5 linked regions of the Coturnix japonica genome follow. The protein of the gene in region 1 interacts with the protein of each later gene in a pairwise test. Links are inferred from orthologs where the notes say so. Each region holds a gene or a part of one and is shown in the gene's direction. Other genes may lie near its edges. The genes, in order: PSME3, EAF1, TNFAIP8L1, WDR25 and EAF2.

Evidence for each region.
Region 2: the proteins of PSME3 (region 1) and EAF1 interact in binary tests that used the Homo sapiens proteins (3 or more experiments, as listed by UniProt). The two-hybrid records come from large-scale screens. The link is inferred for Coturnix japonica from reciprocal best matches to the Homo sapiens genes PSME3 and EAF1.
Region 3: the proteins of PSME3 (region 1) and TNFAIP8L1 interact in binary tests that used the Homo sapiens proteins (3 or more experiments, as listed by UniProt). The two-hybrid records come from large-scale screens. The link is inferred for Coturnix japonica from reciprocal best matches to the Homo sapiens genes PSME3 and TNFAIP8L1.
Region 4: the proteins of PSME3 (region 1) and WDR25 interact in binary tests that used the Homo sapiens proteins (3 or more experiments, as listed by UniProt). The two-hybrid records come from large-scale screens. The link is inferred for Coturnix japonica from reciprocal best matches to the Homo sapiens genes PSME3 and WDR25.
Region 5: the proteins of PSME3 (region 1) and EAF2 interact in binary tests that used the Homo sapiens proteins (3 or more experiments, as listed by UniProt). The two-hybrid records come from large-scale screens. The link is inferred for Coturnix japonica from reciprocal best matches to the Homo sapiens genes PSME3 and EAF2.

Annotation. Positions count from the first base shown.
Region 1 is NC_029542.1:4,666,457-4,672,483, forward strand, and holds the end of PSME3 (proteasome activator complex subunit 3), read left to right. Parts: intron 1-356; coding exon 357-469; intron 470-651; coding exon 652-720; intron 721-1,169; coding exon 1,170-1,237; intron 1,238-1,381; coding exon 1,382-1,436; intron 1,437-1,699; coding exon 1,700-1,786; intron 1,787-2,293; coding exon 2,294-2,374; 3' UTR 2,375-4,049; downstream 4,050-6,027. UniProt on the Homo sapiens protein: Subunit of the 11S REG-gamma (also called PA28-gamma) proteasome regulator, a doughnut-shaped homoheptamer which associates with the proteasome. 11S REG-gamma activates the trypsin-like catalytic subunit of the proteasome but inhibits the chymotrypsin-like and postglutamyl-preferring (PGPH) subunits.
Region 2 is NC_029517.1:38,105,264-38,110,834, reverse strand, and holds the end of EAF1 (ELL-associated factor 1), read left to right. Parts: intron 1-1,952; coding exon 1,953-2,183; intron 2,184-3,843; coding exon 3,844-3,890; 3' UTR 3,891-5,555; downstream 5,556-5,571. UniProt on the Homo sapiens protein: Acts as a transcriptional transactivator of ELL and ELL2 elongation activities.
Region 3 is NC_029543.1:4,002,456-4,008,780, reverse strand, and holds the start of TNFAIP8L1 (tumor necrosis factor alpha-induced protein 8-like protein 1), read left to right. Parts: upstream 1-2,458; 5' UTR 2,459-2,647; intron 2,648-6,325. UniProt on the Homo sapiens protein: Acts as a negative regulator of mTOR activity.
Region 4 is NC_029520.1:44,215,515-44,221,085, forward strand, and holds part of WDR25 (WD repeat-containing protein 25), read left to right. Parts: intron 1-3,428; coding exon 3,429-3,576; intron 3,577-5,571.
Region 5 is NC_029522.1:20,655,025-20,660,595, reverse strand, and holds part of EAF2 (ELL-associated factor 2), read left to right. Parts: intron 1-720; coding exon 721-857; intron 858-1,582; coding exon 1,583-1,725; intron 1,726-4,519; coding exon 4,520-4,786; intron 4,787-5,571. UniProt on the Homo sapiens protein: Acts as a transcriptional transactivator of TCEA1 elongation activity. Acts as a transcriptional transactivator of ELL and ELL2 elongation activities. Potent inducer of apoptosis in prostatic and non-prostatic cell lines.

The DNA of each region.
Region 1 (6,027 bases):
CCTGTGGATCAGTTCTAAAAGCTTTTTACATCTGGAGGAAGACCTCAAGCTTTGGATTAAGCTGAGGCAGAATCATTTCTTACACGTGTGTCAGGAAAATCCTTGTACCTAGGCTCAGCAGGCTGGAGCTCTCCAGTTCTCATCTAAGCTCTGTATTTTCTGTCTTCTTTCCTCTGTGGCAATCATGGCTATCCCATGCCCAATTTCCCCCTTCCTCACAGGTTAGCTGTATCCTGGCTCAGTGTCCACTGCTAGCCTTTGTAGGAGACATAATGCTCAGGTGGACATTTGGTCTGATCTTCTGGTGTACCTGTTCCCACGTGGGGCTGATGTATTTGTCTTCTTTGCCACTGTAGGTACCAAAGTATTTGTGATGCCCAATGGGATGCTGAAGAGCAACCAGCAGCTGGTGGACATCATTGAGAAAGTGAAACCAGAGATCAGGCTGCTTATCGAGAAGTGTAATACGGTGGGTGTGGGCCACAGCCCTGAGTTCTGGAGCAGATGGGGGCACTAGAATACTTTTGCTCCTTTGCTTGTGTGAAGGTTCTCTGAGAAAAGGAGCAGGTTCCTCTGTATTTTATAAATGACAGTGGTATGAATCCTGTAAAAATCTTGACAGTGATCTATATAGTGATCTTTCTATTGCAGGTCAAAATGTGGGTGCAACTTCTAATTCCCAGGATAGAAGATGGAAACAACTTTGGTGTTTCTATTCAGGTAAGATATTGTTGGCTATGTTGTGGTCTTGTATTATAGTGTGTTATCTTGCATTTTGATATCTGATGTAGTAAATTAGTTTGTTTCTCATCAGACTGTTGCTGTTTTCTTTTAAGGCCCATCTCTCTACCCTTCTCCCCTTTTTTCCCTTTTCCCTTTCCCAGGGTGTGGGTCTGTGTGTACTGCTGCCCTGCTAGTTACGGAACCGGGCTGAACCAGCCTGTAAACCACTGACAGGCTGTATGCCCTACTGTGGCAGGGAACTATGCCCCCAAGAGCATGTACCTTTAGGTTTCTTCCAAATCATTTGATGGTATCCAATGTCTGCAGTGGTGGAGTTGGTTTAGGTTTTAAGATCCAAATCTAAGCTTGACATGGAACTGCTACGACCTGGTACTTCTAGAGCGGCGATGGGCAGTTTCAGTATCATGAAAAGGCTTCCTTTGCAGGAGGAAACAGTTGCTGAACTTCGAACTGTGGAGAGTGAGGCAGCATCCTATCTGGACCAGATTTCTAGGTATGAAGGAACAGAGCCCTTTCTGGGAGTGCTGCTGGGAAAAGGAACCTTTTGGGGAAGGTCCTCCAGCTTTGCTGGGGCAGATTGTGCCTGGAAGAATCTTGGTACTGTTTGTCTGATTTGTAGTCTCCATTTTCCTAACAGATATTATATCACAAGAGCCAAGTTGGTTTCCAAAATAGCTAAATACCCTCATGTGGTAAGTAAATGGGGAAGTGGTGCTTTACAGTTTACATGCTGTTGCTTTCTGGGACTCTTCAGGCTACTTCATCACTGTCTTAATTTTGAGCTAGGGGCCCTGTGGGAAAAGGGGGGGCTATATAAGAATATGCAGAATATCTTCATTAGAGAAGAGGAAACTGAAAGGGGGGATTCCTTTGTAAAAGGTAGGACCTTCAGTTGATACCATGTATCAAGCACACCTGAGCTCAGGCCTCTTAGCCATGCATCTGTTTTCTGCAGGAGGACTACCGGCGCACAGTGACAGAGATTGATGAGAAGGAGTATATTAGTCTGCGCCTGATCATTTCAGAGCTGAGGAATCAATATGTAAGTGAAAAAACAGAGCTCTCACTGGCTCCCCACATAATAGAAAGAGTCCTTTTGATCCTTCTACTGCTCTCCTCTTTCCCTATGATTACAGCTAGTCCTGGAGAGAAGCCTATCTTTTCCCCAGTCTGCTTTGGCTCTAACAAGAGCTAAGTGTTTATTGGCTCCCCACCATCTCCCAGAGATGTGGATGTTTCCAACTTGAGTATTCATGGGAGCTGAGTGCAAAATATTCAGTACACTGCTCTAGGAGCGCTGCTGCAATCCTAAATTCTTCAGGCAGTACAGACCATTCTTTTGATGTCTTCTCTTTTTTGTATTGCACACATTAGCTTCTCTAAAGTGTTGCGGAAGAAAGCACTTATTTTAAGCAGAAATGTGATTGCAGGCAGGGGTTGAAAGTAGTACCAGGATGAGCTGTGAAACTGTTCAAGTCAGTGGTTGTGAAACCTGAATGCTAAGTGACATCCCCCCTTCATTTCTGAGTTGTGTTCTCCCTTTTTGCAGGTCACTTTGCATGACATGATCCTTAAAAACATTGAGAAGATCAAGAGGCCTCGGAGCAGCAATGCTGAGACCCTTTATTAAGTGTCAACGTTTGAACTTGAGAACTGTTCAGTCAACTAAAGACCGTCATTGCCTTGGTTTGTTACATGACTATCGAGATGGGAAACTGGCTGGAAATAGTTTTGCATTCTTAGTTAAAATCTAAAGAAATTATCACCTAGTTTTGTGATTGGTTTTATTCAGGTCTCAGGAGCTCTCCCTCCCTCTAGTATATCTGGTAAAGAAAAAGGCCTTGCTGCTTTGGGATGCCCTAGAGGCTACTGCAGAGTGAGAGCAGAGCGCCAGCCAGGCAGGAACATTCCTTCATGCCTTTCTTCCTACCTGAGTAGGAGCTACAGTAGAGATCAGGCCCTTGTCTTGTCCCATCTCTTGGCTGGAGACTTCTCTGTGGTCTCTGTGAATGGGGCAGACCATCTTCAGCTCAAGACTAAGCCTGGATGGTGGTGCAGTGGCTGAAAGCCAGCTCTCTTCACTGCTGGCTGCAGCTGAGCCCCTCTGCCTATGCTCTGCACTGACTTATTTGCAAAGACAGAGGATCCTGCCCCTTCTGGGTTGGTGGCCACAGCCACGTTGCAGTGCCACTGAGAGGCCTGTAATCGTTTTGTGGCTTTTTTGACTCAGTAGAGCGTGGCCCATCTGTCTCTGCCTTGGTTCTGAGCGGGTCAATGCAGAGCTGAAGGTTGTGCTTGTCACTAGGGCTGATTGCTGTACTGGCTGGTTGTGAGCGCATATGGCTTCTGCTCCAGTCTGCAAATTGACTAGAGCCACTTTCTTGGTTAAAACCAACTTCATGGGAGTCTTCATGCCTCCTTGGTATGAGCTGCTTTTGCCCAGGCTGAGAAAGGAGGAGCCAGAGGTGTGATGCTAAACTCCTGATAGCTTCCATGTGTGGTCAGACTGCAACCTGCTTTCTCCTGGCAGTGCTTCCTGCTGTCCAGGCGCAGCAGGCCAGCTGTGACAATAGTGCTTGGGGTGAGGATGGCCAATTCCTACCTGGTACCGTTGCAAACCTTGTATTCTTTCCCCTGCAAAAGAGCACCCTTGTGTGCCTATTGACTCCTCTAAGCTGCTGGAACATTTCATGGTCCATTACAAACCCCTTTGGAAATGATTGGTTGTGTTGCGTCAGTTTTTGTGTGTGGGAAGTGATCCCATAATGCTGCAGGCTCCAAATTTTTTATTTATAATATTTCTACTTAAGTCCCATATTCAGGGAATGTTAAATCATTTATTTCTGGAACCTCACTGTTTCCCAGGTCTTGTTGTTACACCCATATATTCTTATTGTGCAGTAGCCTTAATAGTTGTGTTAACTTCATTGTAACAACAGTGACAAATGGAATGAAATTTCTCTCCTTTTTTTTTTTTTTTAAAACTATTTTTTTTCTGCTTCCACCTCTAAGAGCCATGTTGTCTCTTGCTGGTTTCCTAGGGATTTCCCCAGAGTGTGGAGGGCCACCAGCCCTTGCTGTAGACTCTTCTGTTGTTGTTTGTAGTAAGTCAACTCTTAGTCTTCCCGCTAATAAATATTCTGTAACAAACCAACTGCGTTGTAGCTGCTGTCCTGGAGCAGCACTCCCCCTTGTGTTTCTTTGTATTGATTTATTTTAATTTGTTGAGCTCTCCTTGCCAGATGAAAGTATGTAAACTTTTACCATGTCAAGAAATTAAAATAAGGTACTTTGAATTCTTTTAAGACAGCCCCTTGTCTGTGATACTGAGCTCTGCAGTGTTGGTGTCTGTTCTCGGTCGTGCATTTCACACATCCAGTGGTTCCTTCCATTCGTTCTCCTCATTCTTTTTGACTTGATACTGCTATGTGTGTGCTGCTTTGTAGATTGTTTCTGTTCCTTCAGCATACTTTATATTAAGCACAAGGGCTTGAATTTGATGAGATCTGCCCTGTTCTTGCCTTTTGTGTTGTACTCAGGCCATCTTGGCTCACTCAGGTACAACTGATTTGCATGATGGTGTTCTAAGAGCTGCAACCCACTCCACGGCTGCTCTTGCATCTGTGCAGAGCAGATGTGTGCAGTGTCATAGGACATGCATCTGAATGTTGTACCTGACACGTGTATTCAGTGCATGGTCCATTACTCTCTTGATGTTACTGTGCATGCAGTACAAAGGGGACATGGGCTAAAGCATCCTCAGCGTTACCCAGAGGCGTGCTTTTGTTCTCATTCCTGTTCCTCAGCACATGTGGCATGCAGCCTGGGCTGCAGGGACCTGCTCAGCGGTGTTCAGCCAAGTGCCATTCATTCCCCAGCACCCTGTCTGGGAGCTGCTGGTGTCCAGCCTGTTCTGCTCTGTGACAGGGAGGCTGTGTCTCTTACAGCTTGGTTGCCACTAGGTGGGGGCTGTGATCCAGCCTGAGAAGTGCTGGGAGGCCGGGTGAGACCTGGCCAACCTGTCCTCAAAAGTCTTCAGCCACCAAGAAGAAGCACAAGCGGCAGCTGCTGCTCAGCTGCATTCTGCCTCCTGCTGGGCCATTGGCTGCGAGGTGCTTCCTGTGGAGTGGGAAAATACTGATGGTGCCCACACCTCTTGGTGAAGATGGGTAAGGAAATGACAGCACAGGTCCCTGGGGCTGAGGAGGCTGGAGCTATTGCTGGAAAGTCTGCTGTTGGCACTGCTCAGTGCTGTATGGCAGAAGGGGTCTACCTTGATATGGCCAGGAGAAAGGGAGCCCCCAGCAGCCCTACACAACAGTCCTGTGGAAGGATGGAGCGTCCAGGACTGCTGTGCTGACAGGTGTTGGTGAGGAGCATGTTTCATGCACAGGAGCAGGGGAGGGTTTATTGTCTGTGATCCTCACCCTTTGGCATGGTGGTTTCTGCTCTGCTTTCCCAGAGAAGTGTCAGCTATCAGGGCTCTAATTCACAGCTTCTTGGGACACCCCTGCTTGTGTTTGCAGAGGAGGTTAGAACTTTGGAAGAAGAAGAGCACAGCAGTTGTGTTCAGACAAAAACACTTGCCAGAAACGCAGCCAGCATGAGTAAGTGTCAAGCAATTTCCAGCAGTCTGTTTTACACAAGCTGAATGTGCACGTTGGGAGAGTGGGAGTTTTCTAGAGTTTGAAGTTCAGGTTGGGGTCTGCTTGAGGTGTACCCATGTCAGAAAGGCTGGCAAGAATTTTTATTGTGTGTTTGCATGTTTATACTCTTTACCAGCTGCTTGGCAGTCACTGACACAAAAGACGGCCTGTCTGTGCTTTGGTTTCTATAAATTCCAGGGACTATTTTTGCCAGCTCTACCTTTCTATGTGAGCAAAGCACAGCAAACTCCCAGCCACTGTGTTTTGTTTGGGAGATACTGGCACTTTCCTTGACATGTTGCACTGACAAGCAGTGCTTAAAAGCATCCGTGTAAGCCAAAATAAGCTGGTATGATGTGAATTCTCCATGATAGGTATGGAAGAGTCATGGGCTAATCAGACTGGGGAAATGTTGTGGGCAGAGTTTTGTGTACCGAGCAGCTCATGAACAAGTCATGCTGCTATTAGTGAGATGCGTCATCTTCAAAATTCTGGGCTGGCTTTAAGTTGCTTCAGGGTCCTTTTGGAGAAGACGCTGTTCCTGTGGTACATGTTATCCTTAAGGATCCCTGAACATGTATTATCACTTGCATGTTGACATTGGTTTCTCATCTCTTCAGGTTCAAATAATTGCTCT
Region 2 (5,571 bases), on another chromosome or scaffold:
ACTTTTTCATTGTTCAGCTTAGCATATAGGTACAGGTATATACGTGCACAGCTATTTTAATTGGAGGCACTGCAAGGAAGCATTTAGCTGATGCTTCAATACCTCTATCATTTTGTAAGCTGCTTTCTGGATTGGTTATGTTCTTTCCACATTTACATACCGAGACACTTCATTTCGTCCATAGACTCTACCTCAGTAAGCATATGTGTGTAATTCTCACTCATCCTTCTACAGACCTATTTATTGAGTCTTCTTGCTTTGAGGCCTGCAGTCTGTATGTGATTGTGCTTGCTGCAATCCAGAATGTTCTAGCAGTGTATTCAACTTACAGCTAACAATTCTTATCCTTATTAGAAGTATGTGGAAATTTCATGAAGCTAGGAAAAAAAATATTTAAAGGGAAAGTGCTTTTGTTCTTGTTTACTTTTCCCCTATGACTTACTGAGCCTTGAACACAGTGAACGCTTATCATTTGAAATGTTAAATAAGGGTTGGTAAGAACAGTGACTTACCAGTGCTAATTTTTACGTGTACCAGACTCCAGCCACAAAATGGATTCTTAAAGCTGGTAAGAGTGTTGGGAAGGGCTGAGGGAGCAAGTCATTACAGTACAAAATAACAGCTTCTGTTGACCTAATGGCATATTTTTCCTCCCTCTTCCAATGGTCTCTCATGCTGTGTCTTAAAGATGAAAAGGTAAATTTTGCCTGGCATACTAATGAAGTGCAAAAACCCCAGCTGACCTAGTCAGGGATCTAGCTTCAGGAAGTAGATTTGAAGAACAACCCCATTATCACTAAATACCCGGCTGGAGTTAGTTATTCTCTTTCAGTATGCTGTCCTTGTCACTAATTCAGGATATCTATACCACTTGAAATTGAGCTCTGAACTTTGAGATTGAAAAGTAGCAGCTTCAAAACGGGCAACAGAAAAGTTAATTTCTGAAACCAGTACCTGCTGAGCTGGGGTAACTCCTGCCAGCAAATAACGTGGAGGCTGAAAACTCAGCTGTTACTCTGAAGTGTTAAGCAGCCCAAGGAAAACTGATCTTCTTTAAAAGAAAGAGTTCCAGTTGCTCAGACTTACTCCTGTGTGGGCTGAAGACGGCAAGAACTTAAACTGTGCCATTTTTACATGAAGGAGGGACTCGCTTTGTAAGCTATGGCTGTGCTGTATCAGGAGGGATGTCCCTAGTTCAGGAGCTGTGTTTTGTCTCAGTCAGAGTAACTCACAAGGCTGGTCTATGGTAAATCACTCCTAGTGTTGGTTCTCCATTTGTTGGGTAGGCTCAATTGTACTTGTGTTGTCTCTTCTTTGTCTCTTCACCCTTTGAGTTCTCCAGAGCAAGCACTGTGTTCTTACCTTGCGGGTGCACAACTGCTGGCACAACGAGAGCCTAAATTTTGATGGTTTCTTATACTTTTTACAAATTTAACAGTGTGGAATGGTTTGTGACTTACCTTAATGTCCGCTTAGTAACTGGTTGTTCAGCCAGCACCAGCTCTTGCTGATGAGGCAGTCGTGGTATTCTACTGTTACTTTACACAGGTAACCATTAATGAGGTGTGAGAGTTGAATAACTTGCCACTTTCAGAGCAGTCCATTTTCCCTGACTACTCGTTAGCTCTATAGCAGGTTAAAGTACTGTCACCACTCCCCAGCGTGTGAAGGTTCTCAGCTGTTCTTGTCTGCCCCACTGCTGAGTTTCTAAATAACAACAACAGAAATGAAGGTTTGATGACACTGAACTTCGCTCTTCTTCAACTGCAACAACTGGGTTGAAAAAATTGTCAGGACTGTTTGTTTTTTCTTTCCCGACTCTCTCTTTTCATTTGAGCTATTTTGCTGTTATAAATTCTACTTGACAAAACGATTGCATTTTCATATTCCTTTCCCAAACTCCACGAGGCTTTACTTGTGGTTCCAACCACATGAATGTCCTTTTATTCCAGAGCTTAGAGCGGAGGTTGAAATCATTGAGCAGATGAGTAGCAGCAGTGGAAGCAGCTCATCGGACTCAGAAAGCTCATCTGGAAGCGAAGATGAAAGCTCTAGCAGTGAGGGGGAAGAGCTGGCACGTGTTTCCCCTTCCCAGCCACCTCACCAGCAGTATAACAATAGGAATGCTGTTGCTAACGGCACCAGCAGGCCACAAGGAAGCAATCAGCTCATGAACACGCTCAGTAAGTAAAGGCTTCTGTCTGTCTTATTACTCTGGGAAGCTGCTTGGGATCACTTACTTTGTATGTTAAGCTTGCTCCGTGAAGTACACTTGGCCTAACAGTAATCCCAGGGAGGTGCGCTGGCTGAAGTATGTGGACAGATAGGGGGGTTTAAGAGAAGGCTGAGATGTGTCTGAAGCTGTGAAGATTGCTTCAGTCTGATCTAAAACCTTTGGGCATCAGCACGGTGACCTGTGTTGACCATGCTGAGTCTCAATTCAGGCCTCCGAGTGGAAAGAGTGGACAGCAGAGCGTTAGTTCAGGTGGATATGGTGCACCATATGATGATGAGAATTATTTTAATGTGAAAACACAGATTAGGCTTTATTCTGGGTCAGGTTCAGTGGAGTTAAAATACTGCATTTACAAGAAACTGCAACTTATTTATTGTAATTTGTTTTTAATTTCTCCTGAGGCAAGCTTGAGTACATCTCTTGGAATCCACACAGAGGGAACTGTGTAGTTCAAATGCAGATAAATGTAGAGTTTCCAGCTTCAGAAAGGGAAGTTCGGCTTTTATACAGATGATACTGAAGAGGCTTGCAGGAAAATTGGCAAAGCCAGTCAGTGTTCTTGACAGTAGTGGATGCCTGAGGTGAAACTTGGGTGAAAACCAAAGTTCAGCAAAGTCAGCAGGACTCTTTCCATGTCCCTGTTTTTGTTTGTGAGCTGCCTCTTCCCTGCTCCTTTTGGGCCAAGGCTGCAATACTGCATAGGTCACTGAATTTCTGGAAGTCTCTAACCCGTGTAGGATTTGGGAGCTGTTAAGGTAGCTCCTTTTTTTCATGCAGTGATTGCTGCTCTGATTAATATGACCTCGAGTATTCAAGTCACTGGTGACCATAACTCAAATTTCCCCAAAAGAGGAAAGCAGGTGAAGAAATCCAGGGTGTAGCTGTTGCGAGGCTGCTTTGCAGAGGACTTGTGTTTGGGACAGCGTCTTGGAAGAGTGCCCATAGGACTGGATTCAGTAACCAGAACTTGAGCATGATTATTGCACACTTTTACCCCATCCACCTCCCCAGATTACAAGTGGTCTGCAAGACAGGCTCAAAGACTGTATGTTTGATCCACTTCCAGTCAGTCCTTCCTGTGTTGGATCTCTCTTTGCGCTTTGGAGGGCTGCCCTTGGCCTTCCTTAACCTTCACGCCCTGTATCAGCTGATTTCAGCCAATAGCTTTGAGCTGCAATGGCTCTAACATTTTTTCTGGCCTGCTGACATGTGGAGGCCTTACACTGGCTACCCAAACTGCCTTAAAACAAAGAAGTCTATTTTAATAAAGTCAATTAAGCCAGGGAATTCCTCAGTGCCTGGTCCTAGAGCTGTATACAGGAGTTTGGTGGGTGGAGGCTGTGGAGTGCCTTCTGCAGCTGCTAGCAGAGGGAGTGCTGTCTTCCCTCTGGGGAGCAGACCAGGTGGTTCTGTTGGACCTGGATCAGGCTTCGTATGAGCCCTGTGCGGTTCTTAATGCTCTTGGGCATGGGGAACAAGAGATGACGTTTGCATTCAGTTCTTATGCTTATTTATATCTTCTAGTGTACACGTGGCTGTACTTTGCTTTGATTGCAATTAAATGTGCCTACACACTTCTTGTGTTCTGTTGTTTCTGTTTCCCATAGGAAATGACTTGCAGTTGAGTGAATCTGGGAGTGACAGTGATGACTAGAGGCTGAGATTTTTCCTGCTTCTCTTACATATACATGAAGAACTAATTTACCTTGAAGTGATCATATCGCTTACAAAGAGGATCTGGCACAGGAATTCTTCCATGTGTGGAATTTTAATAGAAGGAATGTGTAACTCTGTAAAATATCAGATGTTGAGGGCTGTTTTACCTTGCAAATTGAGTGTATATTTTGTGTATATTCTTATTCTTGAAAAGCTTTACATAGGTATGTACAGTGGGTAAGCCAGTATGTGCCCCTATGTTCTTATCTGTTCATTATTTGTAAGCTTAACGTGTAACTTCATCATGTCATCTGAAAATTTCTTGTTTGTAGGAGATATTCAGTCCATAGTGGAAGATATTCAGCCCATTGTGTCTCTGTTGGGGGGCTTTTGTAATATAGGGTGAGCATGAACCAACAGTGAGTATTAAAAAAAACCCAACCATGCAGAACCTACAGTGTGCACTGAAGTGGGACTGTTAAAAATTAAGCTTCAACGCTAAGTTGATTTATTTGATTTGGGACTTTTCTAATGTGTTTTTATTGCTATTTATGATTGATTTAATGGACATAACTTTTCAATAGTTGGAAAGGAGAAATTATAAAACCATGTTTGTCACAAACCTTGCTGCACCAGTGCCTTATAAGCAGGTCTTTAAATGGAGCTTCCTGCCACCTCTCATATAGGGAGCAATACTGAAACCTCTTCAGATTGCTTTTACAAAGAAGAGCTATGTTTCACATACAGGTCGGCTGTGCTCTGAGGGCAGTTAATCTAGCAAGATATAGGATATATGTCAGTCACCTGAGCACATCCGAGTCAGAACCAGATCAGCATTTTCTCATGCAACTGAAGCATCTAATTTTATTCAGATATTCAGTCCTAGAAATATATAGGAGCACAATTGCCAATGAAACTGCAGTGTCACAAATAGGAGATAATGGACTTGCTGAAATGGTCAGACCCAGGGCCTTGTTTGCAGTTTCCTAAAGGATGCAGAAAAAGGAGACGACAAAGCAACTGTGGAACAGCACAACTCTCTCTCCCACCACAGCTGTCCAGGTAGACTTTAGTCCGTACTATTTGTTGGACGGGATCTCCGTGCTTGGCAGAATTACACAGAACAAGAAATGTTTGCTTACCATGAAATTCACCCCTGTTTAAGGGGGTTTAAATGGTGCTCAGCTGGATTATCATTAACTTTTTGCTCCGATGGAAATGAGTTCCGGGGCAGCCTCTTAATCTTGAGCACAAGGCTAACTTTTTAAACCCCAAATTCAAGTGATATATGCTGAGCGACCCTGCAGTTGTGGTGTAATCCAGTTGGAACTTAGACTGGATCGGATGTCTCTCCATTCTTAAATGTCTGCTTTGCACTGCTTTTGTCTGATAGTTTGTGTTGTAACTCCTGTTTGTTTACCGAGCTCTTTCCTTTTATTTTTAAGGTATTGAAGAGCAGGGTGTCATTGGAAGGGAGATTTTATTAAATGGTTTATTTTAATTTTTTTTTGCATTCAATACGTATTTAGGCATATTTTTGCATTATTGTACATAACGTTTAAAAAAATAATTGTTTTTTTTAAAGTGTTTTATGATGTGGGTACATATTTTAACATACAATTATGAAATATACTTGATGTAAAGCAACAGCTGATGTGATTCATTTGGTGTCTTGTGGT
Region 3 (6,325 bases), on another chromosome or scaffold:
GTATTATGGACTAGAAAAAAAAAATTGTAAGGCTGTTCTGTTAGGATAGGAGACTCCCAGCAAAATAAAAACAGATTTAACAGACAGCAAAGAAGCCAGGGCCTCCACAAAAGGCCAGACTATCTCACTCTGTGAGAAGATTGAGATGCAACAGGCAGGCATCAAGATGCACCCCTGTCATCCTTCTGAGGTTATCCCTATGCAAGGACAAGCAGGAGTCCAGAAACAATGACCAAATGTTGAGTGAACAAGTGTTAGAATAACTTATCAGCTAGCAAAAATGTATGCTTACCCAGTATCCCTATGTGTAGCTGAGCCTCAGGGAGATTGTGAACCTAAAGTAGTCAGCCAGTGAGAAACCAGGGGAGAAAGAGATCAGCGTTGGGTAACAGGGCCTAAAAGATGCAACGCTGCTTTCTGCATGCTCTCCTGCTTGCAGGGGACCTGCCATTGCAATTGCCAATCAAAGCTGCTTGATCACAGATAGCATCCTGGTCAGTGATCTGGGTGTTTCCAACAATCAGAAGTACAGCGGCAACAAGAAGAGCAGCCCTGCAGTTTGTCCTTTCCTGGACATGAATAACTCCCAGCAAAGTGTAAAGAAAAAACATTGCTCTAAGCAGTGTTCTCAGTATGAAGAACCACCATGCAACTGAATGCAGCATCGCACATGGCTGTCAGTATAGAAATCACTGTGTTTGCCATTATCCCTTATGGCTGAGGGAACACAAAGTAGTCTTTGGAGTCTGTGTAGTTTTTTTGTCAGTGTATTGTATAAAATGAATACAAGTTAGAGAAACAGGAAGAGGTCGAAAGTGATGTCCCAGAATATCCAGCATGCCACAGATACATGCAGCAAAGGCTTTTCAGTTTTAGGTGTCCAGGAGCATAACCTTGGAAGACTGGCTGTGCAGGCCTGGACACAGGGAAGCCTCTCAGGTGGCTTGGGGCAAACAGGCAATCCTGGAACACAGGCTTAGGTGCAAGGCACTAGGGCCTGGGCTGGCACACCAAGCACCCAGGGAAGCCTCTTAAGTGCCCTGTGCCACTGGGAATGGCTCAGCACACTGCCATACTGTGAGCATGTCAGCATGGGGTGAGCCAACACTGGGGATCCAGTATGGGGCAGCAATGGGGACAAAAGAGCTGTCCCTGCACCCTTATCTTTCATGTGCTGCTCCCAGTGAACAGTTTGTGCCTGCTCCCTGTGAGTGGACAAGAGGATCAGATGAGCTCAGGAGAGGGGTTGACGCCAGGCAGCTTGGGGCTGCAACTGCTCAGGAGAGCAGCAACAGATGGTGGGGCTGAGAGCAGCTCCTGGGGTGCATGGGCAGAGGGAGGGCATCATGGGGTGGGGTGCGCTGTACCCTTGGCTCGGTTTGTTCAGCTCCAGCCTGGGTTGGAGGGTGGAGGAGTTCCACAGTCATGGGCAGTGGGTGAAGGAGGGGATGTTCCCCTTCTGCACTGCGAAACCTTATCTGGAGCACTGCCTCCTGATGTGGAGTCCTCAGCTCAGGAGGGACTCAGACTTGTTGGAGTATTACCAGAGGAGGGTCACGAAAAGGTTCCCAAGGGAACACCTCCTTATGAGGACAGGCTGAGAGCTGGGGCTGTGCAGCATGGAGAAGAGAAAGCTCTGGGAATGAGCAGATTATCAGGACCTGAAGGAGCTGTAAGAGAGGAGACAGACTCTAGCAGAGGACAAGGGGAAATGGTTTCAGACTAAATGAGGGGAGATTTAGAGTGGATATAACTTCCCTGGAGGGCCCCCCGTAGAAGACAAAGTCTGTTGGAGCACTCCCATGGAGCAGGAGCTGCAGAGGAAGGAAGGAACTGTTTAACTTCCCAGCTGCTGCATGAAACTATCGGCAAATTCAAGTCTGTTTAATCCAGACTTTAATTTGCTCTAAATCCTGCCTTTAGTGCTTTTAATGCCACCTTTCAGAATTAGGATCCTGCGCAGCGGCTGCTTCGAGGGGTCGGAAGGGATGAAGGGGCCGGGATGGGATAGAAGGCAGCGGTGGAATGATGGGGGGCAGGATGGAGGGGAACAGCGGGATGGAGGAGAGGGGACGGGACGGGAGCGGAGCGCAGACTGACCCCTTCTGGCGGGCGGCACCACCGAGCGGCGGCAGAGGCACTCCACCCCCAAACCCGCTGAGTCGGAGCGCGGCCACAGAGTGCGGGATTTCCCGGGGGCGGTTTCGCTCGGCGCTATCGGGCGGGAGCTCAGCGGCACCGGAACGACAGCAGCGGACGGAGCCGCCCTCGGGTACCCGCCTGCCGGGCTCCAGCCGGGGCGGGGCAGCCCCGCAGCGCACCGGGGAGGGGTCGCCCGTCCCGTGCTCGGCGCCGGTGACCCCGGGGCGAGAGGAAAGCGCCCGGCGCCCGCCCCCTCGGTACTCCCCCGCCCCTCTCCTATTGGCAGCTTCGTAGCAAGCCCCGCATCACCATTGGCCAGCACCGCCGGTGGGCACCGCCTCCACCGCAGCCGCGCTCGGCCCCGCTCGGTCCGGAGCAGCCCGGAGCACCGGGCACGGCGGCTTTACCGAGCACCGGTACAGCGCCGCTGTGTCCGGGCACGAAGAAGCCCCGGGGAAAATCAACACCCCGTCCCACCGGAGGAGCCCTTGTGGCCCCGGTGCAGGTAAGGGCTGCAGGCGCGGGGCTCGCTGTCCCTGTTTTCGGCCCCGCGGGAGAGGTTCTACCCTGACCGCGGCTCTGTGCTCTCCGGCCGGGAGCGGCGGGACCGGCAGCAGCTCCAGCAGCTCCCCCTGCGCCTCTGAGCGCGGTGGGGGTGGAAGGAGGATGGAGCTCTGCGCCTGAGAGCGGAACGGCTCCGAGCTGCCCCGGAGCTGCGTGCTGGCAAAGTGCGGGAAGCGGGAGGTCCGGGAGGGGTCCCGGGGAACGAGTGTGGGTCTGGGGGCCGCGGTTTGGTGGGACGTGTTGATGGGGCGGCTGGGTCTTGTGTGGGGCTGTGCCTCAGCTTCCCCTCTGGGTAAAATGTGGGAGAACGGCAATGGAGAGGGCTTCACTGTCGCTGCTGAAGGAGTGTGCTTTGGAGCCCATCCTCCTGCAGGGCGTTAGGGTTTGTGAACCAGGGGCTGCAAAGGGGAGAAGCGGCTCCAGGAAGGATGTGATATGCTGTTCTGTGCTGCGCAAGTGGGGCCGTGCTGCCCTATATGGCATCCACTCTGCAGCAGCCCCAATCTGCACGTGTGGGGTGCCTGTGGGGCACCACAGCTCCCAGGGGCTTAGAGCCCCCACAGCACCATAGGTGGATCTCTGAGGCTGGGAGGATCCCACCCTAGTGTGAGGTGCAATCTCCCTGACTGCTGCAGAACACACCAAGAGGTTTTTAGGGTTCTGCAAACATTGTGTTGTGACCCGAAGCACAGTGTCGCTAGAGGAAGGCTGCAGCAATGGCCCCGTTACAGGACTGCCTCCATCAGGATAAAGTCTATCTGCAAAACTTTACTTCGCTTTGCCCCTGCTGCAGCCTCCCAAGGGCAGGAAGTGTGTGCTGTGCTGTGCAGCCTCGGCACTGCTGCTTCCCCCTCTGCTTTGCACTTCCCCATCTCTCTCCTGAGCCTCTGTCTGCTACGGGTGAGGAAGAAAGGAAGTTGCCACAGGAGAGAGCAATCGTTGGCTGCCTGATAAGGGAAGGAGGAAATAGAAGGTGAGATGGATGAACCAAAATAACCCCTTCCTCCTCCTCCTGCTGCTGCAGCTGCTAGGCCCCTGGGCGTGATGGCACCACTCAGTCCCCAAGCATGGCATAGGGGTGCTTTCCCCAAGGGCCCCTTCCAGGTGCCAGCAGCTGTTCCCATGCAGCACCTGTGGCCATGTCCCCAGGGAAGGGAGCACTATGGGAGCCCTTTCCCCACCTATGTGTGAGGCTGGGGCTGGTAGTGGGAGTCCTTCACCCAGTTCCGTGCATGGGCACATTTGGGCTGCTGGACACACGAGGGTTCCCAGGTGCCCATTCATATTTGGGACCAAGTCAGGTGTTTCCCAGCCCTGCAGGCTGCTTGGGGATGCTGGGCTTGTTGCAGAGGAGCCAACTCCTCCAGGTAGTTCCTGGCTTCTATCCTATTGGGTGTCAGGGGGCACCAGGATGAGCAGTGCTGGGTGCAGGCAGGGTGCTGCAATGACTCTGTCTGCAGTCTAGCTCGCTCCATCCCTCAGGCCTTCTGTGCTGCCTTTGGCCCCTTGGTACCAAGGTGACTGCGTCCTGTGTGTACCACTATGCTGTGCTGCAGGGATGGACAAGACACTTTCTCCTGGGCAGACTTCAGGTTATAAAAGTTTGAAAACCCCCAAAGGCATTTTGTCATCTTGGGTCGTCTCTTCCCTTTTTTTTTTTTTTTTTTTTTTTTTTGCTGCTGAGGAACTGGGCTTGTGCTCCTGACCCCAGCACAGCCACCAGCAGGATGGCATGGGGCCGTGAGCAGTGCTGGAGCAGCCCTGTGCACTGCTGTGTTGCTGCTGCATTGCTCAGGGAAAGGGGGTCATGGCCCAGAACTCAACAGTGGGTCCCAAAACAGCAGAGCAGGGCCATGCAGCAACCAAGTGAGGCACTGCATAAGGCTCAGGGTTTACCCCCACAGTGTTCTTTGTTCCCTGCCCTCACAGTGCTCCTGCTCACCCTGTTGGGTCATAAGGTTTTCCCCGTGCTGTGAGGTAATTCCCCTCTGGCCTCACCCTGCACTGCACCTGCAGGGCTACATGCTCCTATGGCAACACACATACACACACCAGTGACAACCAAAGGTGCCAGCTCCCTTCTGTGCCACCCAGCATGTGGCTGGGGGGGCTGAGCACTGTGGGGTCAGGCTCCAGTTACACCCCAGTGGCTCTGGCCCTTCTCCCGCGATCTGGTGCAGCAGCGAAGTTTAATTAATTAATGTTGGTTGGGCACTTGATGGTTGGCAAGGGAAAGTGATAGGGCAGAGCAGAGCAGCAGTGCGGCGCAGTGTGTGCATCTCCCTGAGTGGCAGTGGGAGAGTATGGGACACACAATGCGGGGACCAGGGAGATGGTGACCCTGAAACATTGACTTTTAGCATTGGCCCTAATAGGAGATGGTGGTGCTGCCCTTAGGACAGTGTTGGAGGGAATGGAAGTTGGCTGTGAGGTGGAGGAGCTCTTAGCTCAAGCCCTCCTTTCTGCATGCTTGCTCCACACTGCCTCATGCATTATTGAAGTGTGTTTTGCATTCCCGCATCAAATATTCATCCTGCTGCCATGGGAGCTGCTGTGGGGCTGCCAGGAGTGCAGCAGGGCCACGTTGTGAAGTGCTGTAGACACCTGGTGATTGGCACCCAGATGGACACCAGCATAGGGTGGTGAGTGTCAGGTGTGAGACTGGGACCCCCCTGGCCCCCTTAAAGGGGTTTTTATTCCCTCTATGGATGAGATTTTCATCCCTACTCACAGACAGTTTTCTCCTTCCTCCACCCCATTCCTGTACCTCCTGCTCCTGTATCTCCAGGTCTTTTTCTGCTACTGCAGTTGAGCAGTTTTCAGTGCTCAGCTGAAGCCCTGAGATGAAACAGGAACCTGCCCAGCCTTGCAGTGCTTTGGGGATCATTGGAGAATCACGTTGGCAGCTCCCACAGGATGTCCAGGCATAGAACACTGTGTAGATGTTGCAGCCTTCAGCTGAGCCCCATGGTGTGGCCATGCCTTCAAGTCCCACTGGGATCTGCAGAGCTCCCAGGGAGCTCTGCTTTTCTCAGTTGGGTTCAGATTCCTGCAAAATGGGTGGAAAAAAGCCCAAAGAAATTACAGTGTCTGTGTGCAAAGTCATCATTCATTGCCAGGGCCACACTGCACCATGCCCTTACAGAGCAAGGCTCAGTATGCAGCAGTGCTGCTCTTTCAGTGGAAGACCCTGTTTCAAGGGCGTTTTCACTAAAAAGTAGAAGGAAAAAAACAAGCCCAGCGTAGGGCTGCAGACTTGAGCGACAGGAAGGAAATCTGGTGGTTTATTTCAGTCTGCAGACTGCTCCGTGGGGCAAAGCAGACTCTTCCGTGCACTGATAGTGGCAACAGCCCCTCTGCCAACAATGGAACCAGAGGTCAGCAGGACCCTTCCAGCAGGAAAAAGCCCCATTCCATAACATCTCCCACTGGGAGCTGATTGCATCCTTATTTCCCCCCAAGACCAATGCTGAAGCAAAGCCTGTGACTGTAGTTGAGTATTTTGGAGGAGTGTGCGCTTCCTCTTTTTTTTTTTTTTCATGGCTCTATAGGTGGAGTTTGCTTTTGCTCATTGCCTGTGGCTGCCCAACAAAGAGCTCAGGCGTGGGAATTTCTATTT
Region 4 (5,571 bases), on another chromosome or scaffold:
ATAAAGCAGTGGAAAAACCATATGCAGAAATGAAGAACTACTTAAGAATGCAAATATGATGTCTACTTTGTGATGATCTTTTGATGGAATTTGGTAATCACGTGCAGTAGGTTCTCTATTTGTGGTCATAGCACAGTTAATGTATCTGTTGCTTCTAAGCACAGAAGAGTCTTCATCACATTGGAGACATTTATTACAGTAAAACATTCATAGTTCTTACTTTTTGGTAATTTCTTGTGTGTGTGGAATGTGCAAAGCTTGTTCTTTAATTGCCTTGTTTTCAGTACTACACACGCTTTTGTATCTTGATTTTTCAATGGCTCACCTTTATATGACATTTTGTGGGCATGACTGTGTCCCTTAAGTGATTGCTGAGGAGCTAACTGTAAATATCAAATACCACTTCTTGCAAATAGCAAGTAGAGCTTCCCTTGTCCTGGGAAAATGAACACGGAAACGTAAAAATTGAAATTACTCTCTGTGGATGCAATGGGGCATACACTAGTGTATTAAAGTTAGACTGAGGTACATTCACCAGACAAAAGATATGAAAAATTCCTTCAGGAAGGCCCCATCTGCTATTGCTAGGAATGGGGGCAGTCGCTATGTGCAGATAATGCAAGGACACACATGAGGGCAATTGGGAGGACATGTGAAAGGCAATCATAGAAACATCGTAGAACATCTTGAATTGGAAGGTATCTAAAAGCTCATCCAGCTCCAACCCACTGCCAGGGGCTGGTTGCTACCCACCAGCTCAGGCTGCCCAGGGACCCATTGGACCCATCCAACCTGAACATCTTGAATTGGAAGGTATCTAAAAGCTCATCCAGCTCCAACCCACTGCCATGGGCTGGTTGCTACCCACCAGCTCAGGCTGCCCAGGGACCCATTGGACCCATCCAACCTGGCCTTGAGTGCCTTCAGGGATGTGGCATCCACAGCTCTCTGGGCAGCAGTTTCAGGTCTTCACCATTTTCTCACTGATAAATTTCCCCCTAGATGTTTAATCTAACCCATTTCCACTTGTCTTATCACTGTCTACCCATGTAAAAAGTTGTTTTTTCTCATATTTATCAGCTCTTGTTAAATACTGAAAGACTGTGTGAATCAGTGATTAGGAGTTTGTTAGTTGATGGGTAAATGAAGTGAACATCCTCAGTCTAGTCTGCCCTGTCCATGTTGCTGTAATGCAGGAAGGATCTGAGAGAGAATATACTTGAAGGGAGAAATATGATATTGAGTGACTTTCCACTAGTATGTGGTTGGTAGTCTCATCCATGTGAGTTAATCAGTTCTCTTTCACAAAATGGGGAGAAATGTGCAGTTTTAAGGCTGTGCTTTTCTCATTTATACAGTGTTTGTTTTTTTTGTTCTTTTTTCCCAATCAGGCTAGTGCTAAGAACTTGCTTTATTCATCCTTCTTGTGAAAATTGAGTTTTCATGCTTAATCAGGGAAACCTGTCAGAAAAATATCTGAGGCATGTAACACCTGTTTTTCCTTTCATCCGGATTCATTCATTAGCTTCTTCGTATTAAAAGCCCTCCAAGATACAATTAACCCTTTTTAATGCTGTGAAGCTTGAAATGATCATTAAAACTCATTAAAGCAGAGAAACTTGCTTTCAAAAGCAGCTTAATATTACGTTTTCTTTACTTTTTTTTGGCTATGGTTATCACAGTTACAGTCTTAACTGACTATTCAAGTAATATTGCTTGATTGCTTTGTGTTGCAGAACTACAGTCTGTGCTAGAAGATCCTTTGATGAAATAATTCTGTATAATGTAACACTCCCTTCTGAGTGTAATAATGGTTTTGCCAGTCCTTTTTGTCCAGTGTAAAGTAAAAAAAGAATTCAAAATAAAAATGCATGACCAGAAGTCTTGATTTCTCCTTTCTTGCATATGTTTTCCTGTGAACTGTGTTGATGCTATTAGATAGATACCTATTTTCCCTTCATTTACTGAATTGTTATTGTTTTAACATATTTTAAAAGGCACGGGCATGTAGTCAGTTGTAATTCAGTACTAACTTCTGTAGACATATCTAAATGTAGAAATTGGTCTCATTTATTGAAAAGGTCCCCTTCTTGATATTCTTCAAATTGCCTTCTATGTTCCAAGTATTGTATAAACAATCTTAAAATTTAGCTAATTAGATTAGACAAAATTCAGAGTAACCTTCAAAGCTCATAATCAGTGTTATTTAAAATATGCTAGTTTTTGGAGGGTGGAAATGACTAACCACCAAGACAAGTATAGTGAAGTAAAATGGTGACTTCAAAGCAATAAAGTGCCTTAGGTTCTACTTTCTGACTGATACTGTAATAAACCTGTCATGAAGTGTACTACCAAAGCATTGACTTATTTGTACTACTAATATTAGAAGAAATAAAATTGAGGATTTACCAGTATGGTTGTAGCAGCTGGTATATATTTCATTAGACAGTTCAAATAACAGCTGTTATGAAATGATCGTGAGATATTTTATGACTGACCTTTTACCAAAGTGCAATATTCATCAAGATAATTGGGTATTTAGCCTTTTTCTCACAAAAGCAAGCATGCCAAATTTTTACATGGGTCATTTGTTGCTAAACGTGAAATTTTTGCTAAAAATTATGACAAAAGAATATGGCAAAAAAGATGAACTCTTGATTATTGCAAAGCACATTTAGTAATTGAAATTATAATTACATCTAGTAGCTCTGTATTCTATAATGTCTTAGTTGGAAACAATTTATGTTTAAAAATGCTTCTTAAAATATGAATTGAGCTATTTGTATTCTTCAGATGTTAGTTGTTACATAAAAATAAACAGATAACTACTAGAATTGGATTTTCAGAAGTGCTGAGCGTTGATTTAATTTGGTCCAAAATAAACTGAAAAATGAGGGCTTAGACCTATTCTTTCTTCATATCTCTAAGGTGATCTTATCTGACTCCTCAGTGAAGTTAAGGATAAATTCTACTTAAGGCAACAAACTGCAAGACTGAGAAATGATTATAGCCCATCTATAGGCAGATGTGGAAGCTGCAATCCACTAGAAATGCCTGTTAAAAGCAAAAAAAACTTCAAAGAAAGAAACGATTTAAGAAGAAACGGTACTTAGATGTATTCATGCACAGAAGAGCAGAAATACAGATGGAAAACTATAACACAAAATGCTACTGAGAGCAGTAGAGATGTTTCAAGAAATAATGTAAGTCATGAAAATGCATTACATATTCATGCCTTGTTAATAAAATGCCTTAATTCTAATCAACCGTGCAATTATTTCAAACAGATATTTACAGCTTAACCGATATGCATTTGGAATGCAAAGCTTTCTTAGTCAGAAAATGATTTGCTCTAACTAGTTATCAGCACACTGAAAACATTATTCTATTTAATGATTATAGTTGCCCCCTTTTTTTTTTTTTTTAAGGTATGGGATGCTGTAGATACAGGTGGCTGTTTGAGGACATTTTCTTGTCATTCCTGTGCTGTTCGAGCTGCCCAATGGTCATCCTGTGGAAGAAGGATCCTCAGTGGCGGCTTCGATTCCATGCTGCACCTAACAGACGTGGAGACAGGTAAAGGCCCCGTATTGGTACACTTTAGCAGTATTTGTTACCTTTGATGCAGATAAATTTTGATATTGTGTGCTTTGCTCTTTCTTTTGAAACATGCATAGAATCTATAGATCAAGGTAAGAATTCTTGAAATGTCCTTCATTAAAAAGTTTCTCACAATTAAGGGTAGTTTGAGATTCTTAAGAAGACCAGAATGTCTCTAACCTCATGAGCACATGCAATTTCTGTTGTTAGTTACTGCACTACTAGGTAGAATGATACCTGAGTATTTTTTATGCTGTCACTATCTTCCATTAAATTGTTTGCAGAACCCCTTCTATATGTGGTATAGAAACATAATTCTGATGTGGAACTTGAGACTGAAAGTGCATTGTGAATTTGATTAGGAGTTTGAACATTGTGAACTCAACAATTAATTTTCAATTAATGGTCTTTCTCCTCACATTTCCTTCACAAGCCAAATAGATTCTGTCAGCATTACTTCTCCTTTATCTATGTTACCATTACATCTCCTTTATCTATGTTATCAGCATTCATACAGTGGTGTTCTTGGGTCCATTCATAACAGGACATCTGTGTGTGTGTAATGTGGGATTAGGCATCAAATGGTTTACTGAAGAGATGCAGTTTTTTTGTTTTTCCTTCTTAATTTGTTTCTAAATATTTACCTCTGCAAACGTACAATGTTTTTTTGTGTAACACTGCAAAAGAAATCCATACAAAAATAACAAGAAACTTTTATTTAAGAGAGTTTTATCTTATACAGAATTAAGAAGAAAATTGTATGGAAGTATCCAGAGAATTGAATAAACTGGGAATACTGGGAAAGTGATTAAGGAAATTTGTGAATATTGTTCACATCAAGGCCAGGTTCTCTTTGTGCTCTAGGAATGTATTTTTTTTTCTGTACTTGTCACACAAAGAAGTATTTAAATTCAGTGATGGCTGGAAAGGACATATTGTAAAGCATGCAGCACAGTTATACAATATGTTTTTTGGTTTTTTTTTTTTTCCTCAGAATATTCATGGTTTTAGCAGTAAGAAGAATATTATACATCTGATGTAGTAGTGTTACATGAAGCACCTCTCCTATGAGGAAATGTTGAAGGAGCTGGACTTGTTTAGCTTGGAGAAGAGAAGGCTCTGGGGAGACCTCATTGTGGCCTGCCAGTAATTGAAGGGAGCATATAAACAGGAGAGGGAATGGCTGTTTACTAGGGTGGATAGTGATAGGACAATGGGGAATGGTCTTAAACTGAGACAGAGGAGGTTTAGGTTAGATATTAGGAGGAAATTTTTCACATAGTGAGTGGTAATGCACTGGCACAGGTTGCCTGAGGAGGTTGTGGATGCCCCATCCCTGGAGGCCTTCAAGACCAGGCTGGATGTGGCTCTGGGCAGCCAGGTCTGGTTGTTGGTGACCCTGCACATAGCAGGAGGGTTGAAACTAGGTGATCATTGTGGTCCCTTTTAACCCACGCCATTCTATGGTTCTATGAATATACCAAGCCATTTGTTTTATAAGACTTTTTTGTTTTCAGACTTCATTGTAGCAGTCTTCTTGTTTCTAGTCTCATATACAACTGAAATTTACTGATGTGTGTGGATTTAACTTTTGACATGAGTGCTTATAAATCTAAAACAGAATGGCTTCTGTCACTGAGGGAATTTATAGTGACAAAACACATTTTATGTGCCTAAGCCATTTGGAAGGACTGCCAGGGCGAAGTCTTGTTTCCTAAAGTTAAAGAAAAAATTCTAAAGGTACATAATTGTAATGATCTATTTTAATTTGGAAAATTACCTGTGTAACTGTCCAGGAACAGAATGATAGTTTTTGACTCTAGTGCTTCATTAGAAATACCTTCTTTCTAGTACTTTGAGGTTGTAAATACATTAACAAGTTGTATTTACATGAGTTTTAAGATAAGCTTGTAAATGGCTCTTTCCTTACCGACCTCTAAGCTATTTTTTACTGCACGAGTAAATTCTGTG
Region 5 (5,571 bases), on another chromosome or scaffold:
CCACCCACCTGCCATGGATAGGGTCACCAGCCACAAGATTAGGCTGCCTGGTGCCCCAACCAGCCTGGCCTTGGTCACCCCGTAATTATCTCTTGTGGCTTATTGTCATAAGACTATGTTGAAGATAGAAGGATAGAAAGTTTTAATGTCATTTTAGAGCTGATTTTGTAATTTAAGAGCTCAAAACCAATTGCTCTAACGTGTAAAACTGCACAGGACCTAAAGGTTAAACAGCTGTGCTGTAGCTTTAAGTGTATTCACTGAATTGGAAGTAAGTTGTAGGATGACCCTGAAGTGTTGCACACACCGAAAAGCTTTATGTGTATATTGGCAGTGTGAGTTTCCCCTTGGTATTTACTGCAGTAGCACAGTTCTAAAGCAGGAAAGACTGGAAAAGGAAAATTTACTACCTGCCATGCTTTACTGCTCTGCTTATTGGTTACTGAAACCCTTTTGGTAAAAGGAGTCCTACAGTAAGTATGCTGTGATCTGGAAATAAGCTTGAAACTGATTAAATGCTGAAGATGAAATTTCCTTCCAGTCAGTCACCAGCTGCTTTTGGTCACGGTTGAGTCTGGTTTGAAATAACCAATAGTATTTCTCAAGGCTAGAAATGATTGCTTATAATGAATTTGTAATCTCTGTGATGGATTGTTTCCTGTTCATAAGGAGGGAAAAGTACTACTTTGTAACAATTGCTGGGCTCTTCTGATTTACCAGGGCTCCACTCCACCAGTGACAGTGTTCAAGGGCTCAAAGAAGCCTTACCTAAAGGAATGTATCTTAATTATCAATCATGACACTGGAGAATGTCGCCTAGAGAAACTTAGTAGCAACATCACTGTGAAGAAAATCAGGTGGGTAATTTACAAGGTGAACACCTGTCCTCCACTCATTAAGAGAATCTATTTGTTACTGAGTTGAAATTGAGAGATGCTTCAGCCCTTCACTATTTTTATCATAACGCTGTGTTTAGATTGTCTCTGGCTTTGTTCAATAGATTGAAAAGCCTGTGATCTCAACATGCCAACTTGGCTTTGTAGCTTTCAAGTCTTGACCAGCAGAAATCATAGAAAAGTCATTTTTCCTCTACTTTAACTAAAAAGTGGCACATTGTTAAGAGATGGTGACGATTATCTAATGATTATAGAGGGCAAATCTCTTTGGAAAGTAGTTTGCATAATGTCTTCTTCTAATGAGAAAATAGATCAAAAAAATCTCTGTTCTGGTTTCAGTAGTAGCAGTGACTTGTTTTTCCCATACCAAGTTTGTGTTCTTTTGTATTACTGAATCTCCAGAACTTTTTCAGTAGTTATTAGTGAATGGTCCTGGGCAGCCAGGTGTTATAACAAGTCAACTAACACAGAATTCAAAACTTATTGGCTCTGTATTTTAAATGTTACATCCACATCTAATTATATGCTAGTAAGATTAATTAATGTACCTGTAAGTGTAATGATGCTTTTTAGGAAGATATGGCAAGTAATTCCATAACTTGAGGTATAGCATCCCCTGTATTCCTGCTTTTTATCTCATATCCTGTCTTCTGAAGCAATGACAATTTTCTTCTCTTTTTAAACAGAGCTGAAGGAAGCAGTAAGGTCCAGTCTCGTATAGAACAGCAACAGCAGCAAATCCGAAACTCAGCTAAAAATCCAAACAATAAAAATTCCCCACCGAAAGACAAGATGTTTCCACCTTCTCCTATGGATGACATTGAACAAGGTAAACTCCGCTGCTATATGAGCTTTAGAAACTTTGCTCTTAACTAGGATTTTTTGAGAGCAGAGTGTGTTTTTAGTTTGACATTCACTCCAGGAGCTGATTGTATAAGCACTTTGCCCTCATGCTTTGGTTCAAGTGGTAGCAAAGCAGCATTTGAAACTTAACCTTAAAATCAGGTGAATCATTAGGCTTAATGCCACAAGCTATGCTGCTTTTACTCATACACACACACACACACATACACATATATATAAACATATGTTTTCTTCCTGCTGCTTCTATAATCAAGCAGAAAGTAGCCTGTATTATGGTACTGCAACCAGTGTAGTCGCTTCCCATTTTGACACAACTTCTTTTGTTTCTCTGCATTCAGCGAACGTATAGGGTGCAGTGCATTACAACTCAATTTTTGAATTCCCAGATGAGTCTTGTGGAAGATGACATTCAAGTGGGGGTGGGGGGGGAATACAGCAAGTGCCTGCACAAATCACCTCTTGAACAGTGCTACGTGCTGTGTTTGTGAGACACATATTTTGTGTAGTAGCAGGCCTTTTTACTTTTTGGAGGGCAGGGAAAATGGCAGGTGGCCATTACTTGCTACAGGAATGCTGACAGGTGACAGTTTCAATCAGTTGATGTCTATCTCGAAAGATGTTCTGAATTCCTTCAAATAGGTTTTTCAGATGTGTCGCTATAAAGATATACAGAACAGTATCAGAATAGAGCTGGGGTTGCAAAGACAAAGGAAAGCTTGAGTGCAGTGAATGAAATAATACTTTTTCTTGGTGTTCTGTTGCTTTTGGGGAGTGGGAGTGTTGAACACATTGCAAGATAACAAAGTGGCTGCCAAAATATATCAAACTCTTTTGTACTGCCAGTCCAATTTTGAGTGCTACTTAAGAAAATGCAGAATAATTAAGAAACAGGGCTGGAAGGGACCTCATAAGGTTATCTAGTCCATCTTTCTGTCCTAAAGTCAGATTTCTGATGTTTTTTTCTAACTGTGTTCTTCAAGCTTTCTGGTGATGGATTTAGAGTTTTCCCTGGCAGCTTATTCCAGGGCTTTGTTTTCCATATGGTTTATATTCATTGTGTAAGTACAGGCCAGATTACTCCACTGCGTTTAAGTAGCCCTTAATGTCTTAATATACTCAGAAATCTACTATGTCTCACCAGTTCTTTCTTCAAAATGATGCCATCTGGTAGATTCTTTTGTAGAAGTTTTCTAGATCACTAATTCATTGTCACTCTCCTCTAGCAACTTTTCTACTAGTTCAAAATTTTTCCTGCAATATGGTGCCAAAAACCAGTTTCAGCTGAGGTTTTAACCTTGCTGCTCTGAGCAAGAAGGTTGGCTTACTGGCACTGTCTTCATATATGAAGACCAGATAGCATCTTATCTCAACTCAGTGTAATGCTTGTCATTTCTGCTGCAGCATGATACAGTAGAACTGTGTTTAGTGATCCACTGTAACAGGCTCTTCCAAAGTGTTGCCTGCTGAATCATTTTTCATCCCTTGGTTGTGTAACTGACTATTCCTGTTTAAGTGCACTACTTTGAACTTGTTACTACCTTCATTTTCTGGGGCGGGAGGAAGGTCACTCTATATTTCTCCCCCAGTATACATATAGCCCTTCTTCCTCTGTCTGAAAATGCTTCTATTTTTTTAATGAAATTCAGTTGTTTCAGAATTCAGGGCAAAGTTCTCATTCATCAATTTTTGGTACTGTTAATTTTTTTTTAATCAGTAGTCACAAGTGAGAGCAGGGAGGAAGAGGCATAAGTGCACAGGACTTGAGCGCTATATCTTGATTAGCTTACAACCTCAGAAAGGTGGTAGATCAGTCCTTGGCATTTCTCTTCTAGAATGATTTTGAAATATCATCTTGATCTTTCTGCCAGCTGCTTTCTAATTTTTACCTTAGATTTTCTGGCTTATTTTTATGCTGATGTTGTGCATGCTTGCTCTTAGCTGCAGGATTCTTCCAGTTTTTAACCTCTATTTTCCCTTGTGTTTGAGTCAGATTGCAATAAAGGACCGCTTTGGTTCTTCTGTTCTTCCTTGGCATTGAGGTAGTTTGTCCTTGCAGTCATAGCCATGCTGTTTCAGGAACTGCCAGTTTTCCTGAGTGCCTTTTTTCCTTTAGACTGGCTTTTGATAAGGCTGACTGACCTGAACAACTTTTCCTTCAGGCTGACCTTTGATAATGCAGAATTGGAAGCATTCATGGAAGTTTGTGTTGAAGCTTATTCTTTTTATTTTCCTTTCTTGATTTGATTAAGCCTTGAACAATCTTACTTTTTGATCACTTTCATCTTCAGTATTTGATGATGTTGTCCATGTGCATGTTGATTGCATTGCTGAACTGCTGGAAGGTATTTTGAGTGCAGTTACTAACATTTTGTTGCTGACTTACTTCTGTGGTTGTAACTGCAACTTTTAATCAGGTAAAGACATCTTTAGGGAAAATATAAGACTAGCTTGTTACAGAAATTAAAGGCCATGCGAGATGGAATGTGCCCTGTGGAATGTGGGGTTCATGTTCAGTAACCCTTGTTCTAATGCTTGACTTGAAAGGGGAAAAACTGTCCAAGCTCAGGGAGAGGAAAACCACATGACAAACTAGATGTTTGCTTATACCCTTTTCTTTGTTCTGAGGTTTTCTGATTTTTTTTTTTTCCTCTCAGTAATGTGTTGATTTGTGTAACTGATTTTCTTTTTTAAATGACAGTTTTCTTTGTCCCTCTTATACCTCAACCATGATAATGCTAACTGAGAAACATTGTTTGCAGAACTAAAAGCAGAAGCCAGCATGATGGATCAGCTGAGTAGTTCTGATAGTTCATCTGACTCCAAAAGTTCTTCATCCTCTTCATCAAGTAGTGAAAATAGTTCCAGTGATTCTGAAGATGAGGAAGCAAGGCCCACTCTTCCCTTGTCAATGCCATATCTGCAGCCACAGCCTACTGTGTCTGCAGTACCACATCAGGCTGTCCCTGATGAAGATGCCAGTCATAACAGATCCCAGGAGAACAGTGGTCATATGATGAATACACTACGTAAGTACAAAGATGGTTCTTTTCTTAGTATGCAATTCCAGACATCAAGATTCTGAACGGAAACCATATTGTTTTTAAGTATGTCTGTTTTAATTTAAACTGTGGGAGGCAATGCTAAGGTTTGGTTGTTCAGCCAAAGTCTGAATTAGATGGTAGGCTGGAAGGCTTTTGGTCCCAAGAGATACTAAATTAAAGCTGTTGCAGTTCTGAGTTGTTCTGGCTTCCTCCCAGTTATATACATTGAGACTGCAGAACAGTGATTTTGTAATGAAAGTACTTGAACTTACAGGGTACTCTCAAAACATGTAATTTTTTGGTTAGAACTATGGGAAAGATACCACACTGACAATACTTTAAATTACAGAAGGGATGGCATATTCTTAGCTACTTCAATTACTATTATTCATGGCACTGTCCCAACTGGACAGCATGGCAAAACTCTCTTTTGCGTGTAAGGAAGGCAGTTGTTTATTTTCAGGTGATACTATCTTATTCCACCAATTCACACAACTAAAAATATCATTTGAAGAGTAGCTGCTGCTGTTCTTCAAGATGTGATTTCCACACAGCTTGGAATATGTTGCGAGTATTGTCCATAAAGGAGAGCTTGGACAGTGGAGGGGGAGAAAATCAGTAGGTAGAGTCTCAAGTTTGCTACTTAAGTAAGAGGGAGTATTCAGATGTAGAAGTTGTTAGCGTTCAGCTGTTTGAAAACAAGTATGCTTTTAAGTAGGCATTTAACTGCAGGCTCACATTATGAAGAGATTTCTATAAAACCCTACTGT